Linked DNA regions of Canis lupus familiaris. The protein of the gene in region 3 purifies or fractionates together with the protein of the main gene of each other region. This does not show direct contact. Links are inferred from orthologs where the notes say so. Each region holds a gene or a part of one and is shown on either strand. Other genes may lie near its edges. The genes, in order: PDCL3, TLE2 and CCT8.

Region 1 (4,234 bases), on a different chromosome or scaffold from region 3:
TCTGTCTCTCTCACTAGAATGTAAGCCCCATAAGAACAGGGATGTTTTGTCTGGTCTGTATACAGCAAGAGCCCCAGTGCTTAGAATAACACCTGGTAGACAGTCATTATTCAATAAACATTCACTGGATAAATGCTTTCTAGTGAATTCATCTCTAAATTAGCTCTAACATGGAAGAAGACAAAAGTATTGGCCCCTGTGATCAATGGGGCATTAAGTCAAGACTCAGAAATATTTTCTTCAGGATTATCAGGTGCTCATCTGATACAGACAAGAAGCTGTGGAAATGTGGAAATTCTACAGCTCAGGAAGTTGAAGGTTAGAGGACAGCCTGTGACACACTTAAGGTCCCAGAAATAGTGTCTATCCCAGCACTCCAATCCCTGGTTCCCAATTCCTGCTCAGAACATCCTTCTACCAAAGCAGTTAGAGGCTTAAAAAGTTGTTTCTTAATCCACAGACAGAACAAATAAAGAATATAAGCAATCTCACCAACTGACTGCTGAAGGACTCGCTGTTCTTCTTCTTCTGCCTCCTTTTCCAAATCTTTCAAACTTTCCTTTGAGGGCAAGATGCCCTTTTTGCGTAAGATGTCATTCCACTCAGTGTCTGCATTAGGGTCCTGGGGGAAGTGGACCAAAAATACTATGAGTGCAAAGTACACTACAAAGGGTGCCATGTTGGGGAAAGGGTTGAATGGGAAAGGTGGCGGGAAGAGGAATTCAAACCAAATTATTCTGTGGCCTATTTCTGAGAAAGTGTCAAAAGATCCACCAGCCCTGTTCTTTTCCTGTTCATTCAATTTCACCCTCACCATGCAAGACACACACCCAGTAAATAGCCTTTGGTAAAAATCAGGATATGATGTGCAAATCAGTATCAATTCTCACACCAGGACTCTAACCTGGCTTCTATTTGATATTTTTATTAATGCTTCAGAGTGATTCATTCAACATATACTAAATGCTTGTGGCAAGTGTAATGATCAACAAGCTGTCGATCTAGAGAGTTGTAAGAGGTCTGCATTCCACAGAATGGGTAGGGATATTGTCTCAGAAGTAGATATTTAACCATCACTGAAAAGTGAGAAGGAAGCAGACGTGAGGAATGATAACTTAAGAAATTACTTTCCAGGCAGAGGAACCAGCATGTGCAAAGGGCCCAAGAATGGAGATAGGAGTATCGTAAAGTTCTAAGTGGCTCCAGTAGAGTCAGGAGGAGGAGAGCCTGATCCTAGGCTGACAAATTCTCAAACAGCTCAACCTGAGAGGAAGAACGGAGACCCCTTGGAATAGCTCACAATGGCTAACGCCTACTGAGTACCAGGTGCTGGGCACTCTCTGAAGCCCTTTACCTGGACCTACTTAGTAAATCCTCACAAGCCTAGGAAAAGATGTGACATTTAGGAAGACACTGTCATACTGGGACGAGTCAAATTTACCAGGATCAAATGTCAGAAGGATACATGTCAAAGTGGGCTCTAGCTCCCCAAACTAGCGAGTCAAACACTGGTTTTGCCTGGCTTGGCTAGAACACTGCTAATGGACCTGGTCTGGCATAGGAACTCCAAGAGCACTGTGGAGAGAGCACTAAAACAGCCAGGCTGCAGCCCCAACTCCACGTCACTGTCTTGCTGAGATCTATCAAAAGAAAATGAACAGAATCCTTTCAACGGGGTGGTCAGGGAAGGCGCTCAAGAAATGACATTTCAACGCAGGGTTCTAAGGGACAGAGAACGCCAAGGAGGCCAGGGCAGCCCTGGAGCTCTCTCTTCCCCACTCCCGAGTGTCTGGCTTCTGGTAGACACACTCTATTTGTAGACGCTTATCCTGCCCAGCTCCCAAGCAAACCCACACTAACTCCATTTGTCATGTGCCACTTAGCCAGCGAGGATTTCATCAGAATCCCTAACTACAGTGAGGTCTAGGAAGCAGCAGGATGACCTCTGGCAAAGGGTCCTTCGACAAGGGGCAGCATTTAGTCCGAAACTTTTGCTAATTTCCATGATGTCTTCATTTTCTTTCGCTGTAAGTTTGTCCAATTCCATTAGAAAATTTCTGATACGAAAAAAAAAAAAAAAAAGAGGACAAAACTAGGGGGTTTGGTTTTATCTATTTTCAGACAGTAACTGAGAAGGACCTAGGGCTGAGCTGGGAACCGGGGAATCGGAGAGGGGAGCGCACCTCAACCTGCACACCAGCGCGAGGGAGGGAGAGGATGGGACAGATCCCTCACCCGGCTCCGGCTCCGGCTCCCGCTCCGGGTGGGGTCGGGGACACGGGCTGCGACACCGATTACGTCATGGGATCTCCAGGCGGGACCGTTCCCTCATCCGCCTCAGCTTCCACATCCACACAACGGGCCCCTGACACACTTGCTCAGGTGCGAAGAGAATTAACAAACAGGAAGTAACCCTGTCAGGTGGGATGGGCGAGCTGTTCACACACGCCACGGGACGGCCCCAAAAGCCTGAGATTTAGGGGCGAGGCCCACGGGGTGCGGGTAGCCAGCCCGCGGCGCCCGGCGGGACCACGCCCGCCCTCCCGCACTGCGCCTGCGCCTGCGCTCCGCCTAGGCTCGCGTGACCTTTCTTGCGCCGGTGGCGCCCGGCGCTCCCCACGGTCCCAGCCCAGACGGTCTGCCGCTGCCACGGACCCAGCGGGGCAGACGCGCTGCGGCCCCCCCAGGCCTCGGCCCCCCAGGTTCTTTACCTGCATGGTGCCCAAAGTTGGTCACGCCAGGCGGAAGCCGTGTCCCCGCCCCTCAGCTCTCTGCGCATGCGCCCAGCCGCCACCCCCCCCTTCCAGCCCGGCCTTGGCCCCGCCCCCTAGCAGAGAGCAGGGCGGAGCCAGGGAGTCAGCGAGACGTCTGCGCCTGCGCCCGCTGCTCTAGAAACCGGCGCGGAAGCTGTGCGCATGCGCATGGGGTCCTGTCAGTGCGGGGGGGCGGTCCGCTGGCGTCACGTGACCCGGAGCCCCTTCTCTTTGCTACCTTATTAGGGCAGGCCTCGGTCCTTGGAAAGGTGGGGCCAGATGGAGGAGGTGCTCGTTGCGAGGTGTCGTCTGCTGCCTCAGACCCTACCGTTGTAAGGAGGGCTCGGCTCCCGAAGTCAGAAGTAGAAAGGTGTTTCAGTGCGCCAGTGTTACAATTGAAAATGATGCAGGGTCGTCCGGAATTCACTCGCTTATCGTTTCAGCGTCAGATAAGGCAGTTAATTCAGACACATACTTACCAGGAGCCTATGTGCACCAGGCACTAGTCTAGGCTCTGCGGATACGGCGGTGATTACGACAGACAAAAAGGTGAAAGTCATTTCACCTGGTTAAGCCTCAGGCGGCCCATCTTTGCAAGTGTTCGGCCCTGCCCAGGCACACAGGAGGCACCGAGTAAACCAGAAGAATCTAAATTGTAAAAATGCAGGTGCTGGGCTCCAGGCTTCTGGCTACACAGCGCTCCGAATTTGAGTTAAGAAAGTAATCTCACTCCTGGGACAGCTGGGCTGACGTGCGGCCTCAGCAATGAAGCAAACACAGAAGATACACATCCGCACATCTGGGAGTGGGCTCACGACTCCCAACGTCGACCCCCTGGGAGCTTTCAAACACTGCAGTTATGCTGGGGCACCATCCCCAGTCAAAAGAGTTGACTGGAACTGGTATTTTCTTGAAGATCCTCAGGTCTTTGCTGCTAACATGCAAAACCAGGGATACAGAGTGAAAATAAAATGATTCCTTGAAGGCAAGGAGCTTTGGTTTTTATAATTTATAAGGATTCTTAATATTTACCTAACTCCTTACCGCAGAATTACAGGTCTCCTGAAATATTTGTTTATTTATTTATCTGCAGCAAACTGTGAATGCATTGTCCCTTGTCTTACTACCAAAATCAGGAACCAGACTAGTTTGGGGTGAGTTTGGCCCTATGCTAAGCTTTGCAACCTTCCACAGCAATAAAGTGGGTGCTGTTATAGCCTTTCTTCACTCCCAGCCCTATTTCCTCAGAACAGGACTCATCCCCACCTGGTGATTCCTCTCTCCAGAGATTGACAAGCCAAAGGCTCAAACTGCACAACCTCCTCTGTGGAAATGTGTGTCTCCCACTTTTGTCGAAGACTCTTACCTTGCTCTAAGTCACAGTCTCTCCCACCTCCCTAAAGACCCCTGTCCATCATTCCATTCAGCACTCTTGGGTCTGGAAAAAATAATTAGGGCTCAGGAGAAAAAAAAATCAGAGC
Region 2 (3,646 bases), on a different chromosome or scaffold from region 3:
CGGGGCCAGTCTGTGCGCTGCAGGGCCTGCAGCAGGATGGCTGGCCCCAACCCACGGGAGGCCGGATGTGGGCGTGGCAACCCAAAATATCACCAGACAGGCCAAACGTCCTGGGGTGGGGGTGGGGAAGGCAAAACCCCCCTCCCGGCGCCCCTCCATTGAAAAGCAATGGTCTACATCTTGCTTGTTACATAACCCCTCTCTCCAGAGCCCCTCAAAGAGACCTTCTGGAAAGGCAGCCGGGAACCCCAGCCCCCCGCCCCACAAGGTAAGCACCTGACAGGAGGCCGGGAGCCCCGAGCCAATACTCACGGCTTTCCGCCAGGGATAGTGGGCAGGGAGGAGGTGATGGACGACCCTCGGAGATGCGGGTGACACTCAAATGCCATCTGCCAAAATGCCAGAGGGGGCGTCACAGGGCAGGGGACTGAAGGCCACCTCTGCCCTCCCCCAGGCTACCTGCCGTGTTTCTGTTTATCAGAGGATCCCTCACCGGTTCACCAGCCCCTCCCCAGGAGGAGCCCTGTCCTCCACCCATACTGCAGATAGGAGAGCAGAGGCTCCCGCCAAAGTCTCCCTGCCCAGGGAACCTAGAACCCCAGAGTTGGCAACCTCTGGCCCCCTGCTTCTTTTTGTAAATAAAGTTTTATTAGCACACAGCCACACCCACTCATTTATATGTTGTCTGTGGAGGCTCTGAGCTGTGAAGGCAGAAGCGAGTAGCTGCGACCTGTGACACAGACAACCCGGTCTCCAAAGTCAAAACTATTTACTGTCTGGCTTCTTGCGGAAAATACTTGCTGAGCTCCGTTCTACAACATCCCTCCCAGGTGCCACCCAGCCTGGGGGCCGGGATGTCCCCAACGACGGCATTTTCTTCCCTCTGGAGGCATCCTGGTCCACTTCAGCCATCTGTCCCCATACTGTCCTCTGGGGCCCACAGGGGTCTGCCCCCTGCGCCCCAGCTCACAGGTCTCATGCCCCATTCCTCCCACTCCTCCTGAGACCCCACTTCTCGTCCTCTCCCCGGCCTAGTCCTTCGTCCGCAGTCTGCTGGAATCATTAGTCCCTGAAAACAGGACTAGCAATGGCACGCCCTCTGCCAGGGGTCTGAAGGGGACCCTCAGCCCTGGGGCGGGGGCTCTCTGCTCCCAACAGTGCAGCACACTCACTGTTGTTTCTTTGTATTCAGCTTGTGGGCCCCTGGGACCCTTGGATCACCCTCCCACATGCATATGTACTTGCCAAGCAGGGGTTCCCGTCCTTTTCCCTATTTCCTTGTCTCTCCTTATGTGATTGGTTTCTCCTCCCGGCCCCCTGCCCCCCGCATCCTGCCGATAGCACCTGGTGCCCCCACACCGAGCACTCACCATGGGGGACCGTCCATACACTACAGAGCCGCTGACCTGGGGGGACAGGTGGAGGCTGACGTAGGAGCTGGGCACAGAGAGGTCCCCGTTAAGGGCGCTGTGGGAGCTCAGGCTGAAGGATGTGGTGAACGGACTGGACAGTGTCAGGGGGCTCCTCAGGGCTGAGTACGAAGGGACAAAGACAGGTCTTCAGACACCCCCGGACCCAGACCCGGCCTTCCACGGCCTTGACCGCTCACTGGGGGTGGCTGTGCCCTGGTCCAGGCTCCACCACACTGTGTCATATTTCCAGATGTTTGAGAATCTTTCCCTCTGGCTTTCCTTCCTCAGTTGCTGAGCTCCTACTCACCCTTCAAAACCCTGGGCCGATGTCCAGCAACATCATCAAGCTTCCCCACCCCCACCCCCGCCCATTTTGCTTCCCTCTGTCTATGCTAGCCCGGGTCACACATGCCTGGGAGCTCCTCAAGGGCAGGTCCCAGGGCTGATTCTTTCTGGGGCCCCAGAACCAGCCAGGGCCAGGCCACAGGACAGAAACGGAAAACACCGTCACCCCCACGTCAACGATGGGGAATCTGAGGCTCAGGAAGTTTGAGTCGCTCGCCCAGAGTCGGGGCTGATGAGTACCCGAGGCTGGCCTCAAACCCCAGGCCGTCTGACCCCAAGGCCTCTCGGCCCGTGCACTAGGGCCAAAGCTCGTGAGTAAACCAGTGCCTCTCTGGGCCTCGGCCTCCCCACCTGTCAAGCCAAGACCCTGAGGAGACCGAGGTCCAGAGTGAGGCAGCACTGGGCTCAGAGTCCCGGAAAGGGCCAAGGCCAGGCCAGGGCCAGATTCTGGCCTCCCTCCTCCCCCACCCCTAGCATCTTCTAGAACCCCCCAGAGAAGAGACCTGGTCTGGCGGGCCCCAGCCCACGCTCACCAACACTGTCGGTGCAAGGTGCTGGCTTGGCAGCAAGCTGGCGGAGGTGACTGGCTGAGCTGGGCCCGGGGGTGGACGCATCCTGGGGCGGGGAGGAGTCGCAGGACTTGGGGGCGGGGGTGCTGGCAGGAAGGTCGTTCTGGGGAGAAAGGTCAGGACTGAACACCCCTGTGCCCCGCACCTTGCTGCCCACACTCTGGTGAGAAACCAGGTGGGAGGAAGGAGCAGGTGTATGCGAGCTAGGCTGGGGCTCACGGGATGTGCCTGCGTGCCACGGAGCGCCCCGCTAGTGCCCCTCTGCCGTGTCAGGGACACGCGAGGGTCCGCACACTGGGAGCGGCAGGCGGGCGCCTGGGCAGGAAGGGGCACAGCACCCGCCCACAGGGGTACAGCGGGCGCAGGGAGGGGCACTCACACCTGCTGCCAGAACCGTGCACGCGTATGATAAGGCATGCAGTGCGTTACACGGCTAGGGGTTACAGGGTCACTAGTGCGGGTGTAGACTGGCCTTGAGCAAGGGGCACACCTGCAGGGAGAGGGCACACTGCGACAGAAGGGGGCAGGGTGTGGGGCGGGAGAGCACAGGGTGTGCTCCTGGATGGAGGACGGGGACCCAGGACAGAGGACCCGCACCGGGGGAGGAGGACAGGGACCCAGGACGAGGGACTGGCACCCAGTAGGGGCCCGCCCGCCCTGCTTCTGGGGAGCAGTGTCTCTCAGGGAGGGGGGGACACCTGAGCAGGGGGGAAGCGGACCTGGGGAGGAGCTCCTCGCCCTGTCCTCCTGCTGAGGGTCCCCGACCGCCAGGAACCTTGCCGACCTCGCGCCCATCCTCGCCTCCCCAAGCCCGCCTCGCTGCCCCAAGCCCAGGCGCCCACGAGGGCCGTGGGTGGGGACCACGTGGACAGGGAGGCCGCGGGCGCCCCTCCCCCTCGGCCTCCTGGAGTGGAGGAGGTCACAGAAGATGCCACGTGAGCCCCAGCCTCTGCGTCGCCATAGCAACCTGCTGGGAGGGGAGGCCTAGAAACCGGCGCCTCTCCCTCTCCGCCTCTCCCTCTCCCTCTCCCTCTCCCGGTAAGTGGGTAAGTGCCGGGCTGGGCCTCGGGAAGATTTGGGGGAGGGGGCGGGACAGATGGAGCCCCGCGTGGGTGCCGGGGCGCTTCCTACGCGGAGAAAGTTGTTCCCATAGTAATCCTCCTGCCCGGACCTCAGGTGGGGCTGCTGCGCCTCCAGCGCCTCTCAGGGGCCGGAACACTTGCAGGGCGGGAGTCAGCCCTGGGCCCGGATTCTATGGTCACTGGGCTTATTTCCGGGGCTCCCTACTTAAGCAAGCAACCGTCTCCCCAGAAGATGGAG
Region 3 (3,646 bases):
CAAAGTTTCTGATCTTGCAAGCTTACAATTTATGGGGGAGGAGGGAGCACGACATGGAGACAGAAAACGCACAGCATCTATAGAAGTACATACAGCAGGTATATTTATACATCTATACAAATACACACAGCAGGTATGTTTACATAAGCTAAACTCAACTGCAATTTTAAGTCTTGCTATAGGAAACACAGCATTTTTATTTATTTTTTTTAAAGATTTTATTTATTCATGAGACACAGAGAGGGAGAGGCAGAGACACAGAGAGAGAAGCAGGCTCCATGCGGGAAGCCCAATGTGGGACTTGATTCCAGGACCCCAGGGTCACGCCCTGAGCCACCTAGGCATCCCGAAACACAGCATTAAAAAAAAAATACTCTTATTTCAATACTAACATTAAGATGTGAATTCTATTATTGTAGAGCAACAGAACTTTATCTCATTTAAAACTGGCTTCTAAGTTTGTTTTAATTTAGCACATATGAAGAATGCAAGACTTATAATTTCCTTCACACACTACTCTCAACCTTCAAGTTGTCACGGAACAATGAGGACTTTATGAGGAGATAACAGATCAACAGTCTTTAATAAAATTTAACCAACTAATATCAAAATGTTACAAATGATACCTCAAAAGGCACAAAGTTCTAAATGTTCAAAACCTGGGGTAAACTAGGTTTAGGTGAACACCAACATTTTTTCTTTTTGTAAAATATAATTGACCTATTTAGACAACACTGACGCATTTTCTCAACTTACCAAAATCTTACAAACTCTGATGTTATCAACATTGAAATGGCCGGAATCAGGAAAAATAGACACTGTTAAGAAAATGAAACCTATCAGAGAATATATTGGGACAACAGAGCAAACATCTTAAGTCTCATTACGACATTTTTATTTTGGAGCTTTTCATCTACTGATATACTCACCACATGCCTGAGCAATAAGCTTGGCCAGAAACACTTCATTACCATACTGTTTACTCATTATGGAGGTGTGAAGCAGTGTAGACACTTCATCAACATCTCGAAGGTTTTTAGCAGAACAACATACTAAATCAGGAAGAATCTCATGGGCTTTTTTGCAGGCTATTTCATAACCTTCTATGACCTTAAATAGAAACAGCAAAAATATTTTTTCAAGACATAACTTTGACATGACTTAAAAAAAAAACAAACTATTTTGGCAACCCTAAGAATATGGGTATTTGTTTTCCACATAAAACGAGAAAGTATACTTTCAGAACAGCAATCATGGCACAGCCCACTAATCAAGAATGCAGGTTTTTATGATGGCCTGAATTTGAATGCTAATGTCACTTGTTAGCTACAAGATTGTAAGATTTTTCTGTTTCCCTTTCCTCATCCAAAATAAAACAATTTTAATAGGCCATATTCAGGGGGTTCTTGTAAGGATAGAGTAAGATACTGCATATAAGGCACATGTACAATAACTGGCACAGAGTAAACTGCTCAACGTTAACTATTCCTACAATGATGATTCCTACAGCACCTGTATAAATAGGCACAAGTTAAACAGGAGTACATTATAAAATGAACACTTGCCTCTGAAACGGACAGGCCAATTCTCAAAAGCTCTTCGGCTAGTTCCAGAAGGGCTCCAGCAAATACCAGGACAAAGTTGGTGCCATCTCCAACCTCTTGCTCTTGCATGTGAGAGGCCATTACAATCATTTTTGCAGCAGGATGCTGTACCTGGTAGAAGGAATTTGAATTTAAATATCAAAACATTTGATACTTAAAGCAACATGAAGTTTTTCATATTCATTTCTTCTTAAATCAACAGACTCCAATCTCCCTGTGGGCTAGGTAACTCCATTCAATCACGATGCTACATATTAATTGTAGTGTGGTCACAAGAAAACAATCCAAATCCCTCTATGATCATCAGCACAGATGCATCAATACAAATGAAAATCTAAAACTGCATCTTTTTTTGATGGTCAGTCATCCACTACGTACATCTCTGCATATAAAGTTCAGAAATTTATTATATGCAAAAATAAAGATTTATTTGAAAGAGAGAGCATGAATGTGTGTGCATACATGAGTGGGGGGAGAGGGACAGAATCCTAAGCAGACAACCCACTGAGCTGGGAGCCCAATCCCATGACCGAGCCGAAATCAAGAGCTGTATGCTTAACCAACTGATCCACCCAGGCACCCTGTTGCTATGGTTTTATTAAAGTAATATTCCCATATTCCCTGAATAACCTCCGATCATCAGTGTCCAACATTAACACTCACAATGACTAGTCCTTCCAGAAACATCTTGTGGAATTAAATTTGTTCACATTTTAAAAAAATACATTGTTATTTAGATAATCAGAGACATGTTAATGTATCTACAGTTTCACTTGAAAAAATTAAGCTCTGATGCTTTAAGAGCTAAGTTCAGGAAAATTCCTTGAAGTTGAAAGTATCTTTCAGCTACAGAGCAGTCAGATGAGGAATGGCTCTCAGATGTTCAGGTGCCAGACCTTTCTCACAACCTTACCAGTAGTTATCTGTTCTAGACTCTTTAACATCAAAACTGCAGGTGAACAAAGCAAAATGCCACCAACTATTTTCACAAAGCCGAAGAAATAGTTTGTATTTTTTTTAAACCACTGTCTTAAATATCAGCTACTTCTGCATTATGGAATTATTCACTTCAGTGTCCTACTCTATAGAACGAGACAACATACTCAATTTGATATAATGAGCAAATGTACTTTTATCACAACCAATCTCTCCATAAATTAATAACTTGGGAGGCTTTCAGATCTAAGTGGTAAGATGTTAAAATTAAAGACTCCATAATTAGGGAAATCTGTATAATAAATATTCAAGTTGAGGGGGGAAAAGTGCCTCATTATCCTAAGAGGTTTCTTCTATGTTAATATATACTTAATTTTTGACATCACCAAAACATTTCTTGCTTCGAAGAAATAACTTACTTCTAGTTCTCTTAAAATAGTGGCTGCATCGTTTGTCACAAACAACTTCTCTAGGTGGTTGATAACCATTTTGTTCATTCCTTAAAGAAAAAAAAAAAAAGGCAGAACAAAGAATCCATTATCACTCAAATCTTTCTCCAAACAACCCAAAAACCTAGTCAAGAAACAGAAGTTTGTATCTAGTTCTTAAAATAACCTTGTAAATATTCAAAACATATTACTTACTCTTTAAAACTACATTAGCCTAAATGCACCTACATATTATTCCTATCCTTTCTAATCTCCTAACATTTACTAAGAAGGATGTCCATCTTATTTTTGCTCAATAAATGTAAATTATGTTAACATGTAGAAAGAACAAAATAATCTACTTAAAAGTAGTTTTACTGCTTTCCATATATGCGTATCAATTAAATTCAGCTGATGGTAGTAGGGAAGAGAGAACTTTCTCCCTTATATTAAGTATCATTCCAAGGCACCAATATGAAAAAAAAGGTAATATTTTGATTCCTGTTTTTCTAGAGAGATCTGAGTTGTTGCTTAAAAACCGCTAACACTCCACTGATGGAAATGAACTATGAAATTACTTCCGTGTGATGGCTAAAAGTCCCAGTTTACGTATATATAATAGTCTCAGAAAAGACTGAAGAAGCTAGTACATAAAATTCTAATAGTGTAGCTCTTAAA

The links.
Region 1: the proteins of CCT8 (region 3) and PDCL3 purify together in Homo sapiens (affinity purification with mass spectrometry; 3 studies listed by BioGRID and IntAct, with this or other methods). This does not show direct contact. The link is inferred for Canis lupus familiaris from reciprocal best matches to the Homo sapiens genes CCT8 and PDCL3.
Region 2: the proteins of CCT8 (region 3) and TLE2 purify together in Homo sapiens (affinity purification with mass spectrometry; 3 studies listed by BioGRID and IntAct, with this or other methods). This does not show direct contact. The link is inferred for Canis lupus familiaris from reciprocal best matches to the Homo sapiens genes CCT8 and TLE2.

What each region holds. Positions count from the first base shown.
Region 1 is NC_049231.1:43,274,088-43,278,321, forward strand, and holds the start of PDCL3 (phosducin-like protein 3), read right to left. Parts: upstream 2,843-4,234; 5' UTR 2,718-2,842; coding exon 2,712-2,717; intron 623-2,711; coding exon 493-622; intron 1-492. UniProt on the Homo sapiens protein: Acts as a chaperone for the angiogenic VEGF receptor KDR/VEGFR2, increasing its abundance by inhibiting its ubiquitination and degradation.
Region 2 is NC_049241.1:56,618,906-56,622,551, reverse strand, and holds part of TLE2 (transducin-like enhancer protein 2), read right to left. Parts: intron 3,373-3,646; exon of another isoform or gene 3,226-3,372; intron 2,430-3,225; coding exon 2,291-2,429; intron 1,532-2,290; coding exon 1,371-1,531; intron 390-1,370; coding exon 313-389; intron 1-312.
Region 3 is NC_049252.1:24,605,839-24,609,484, forward strand, and holds part of CCT8 (T-complex protein 1 subunit theta), read right to left. Parts: intron 3,040-3,646; coding exon 2,960-3,039; intron 1,716-2,959; coding exon 1,566-1,715; intron 1,111-1,565; coding exon 930-1,110; intron 819-929; coding exon 757-818; intron 1-756. UniProt on the Homo sapiens protein: Component of the chaperonin-containing T-complex (TRiC), a molecular chaperone complex that assists the folding of actin, tubulin and other proteins upon ATP hydrolysis.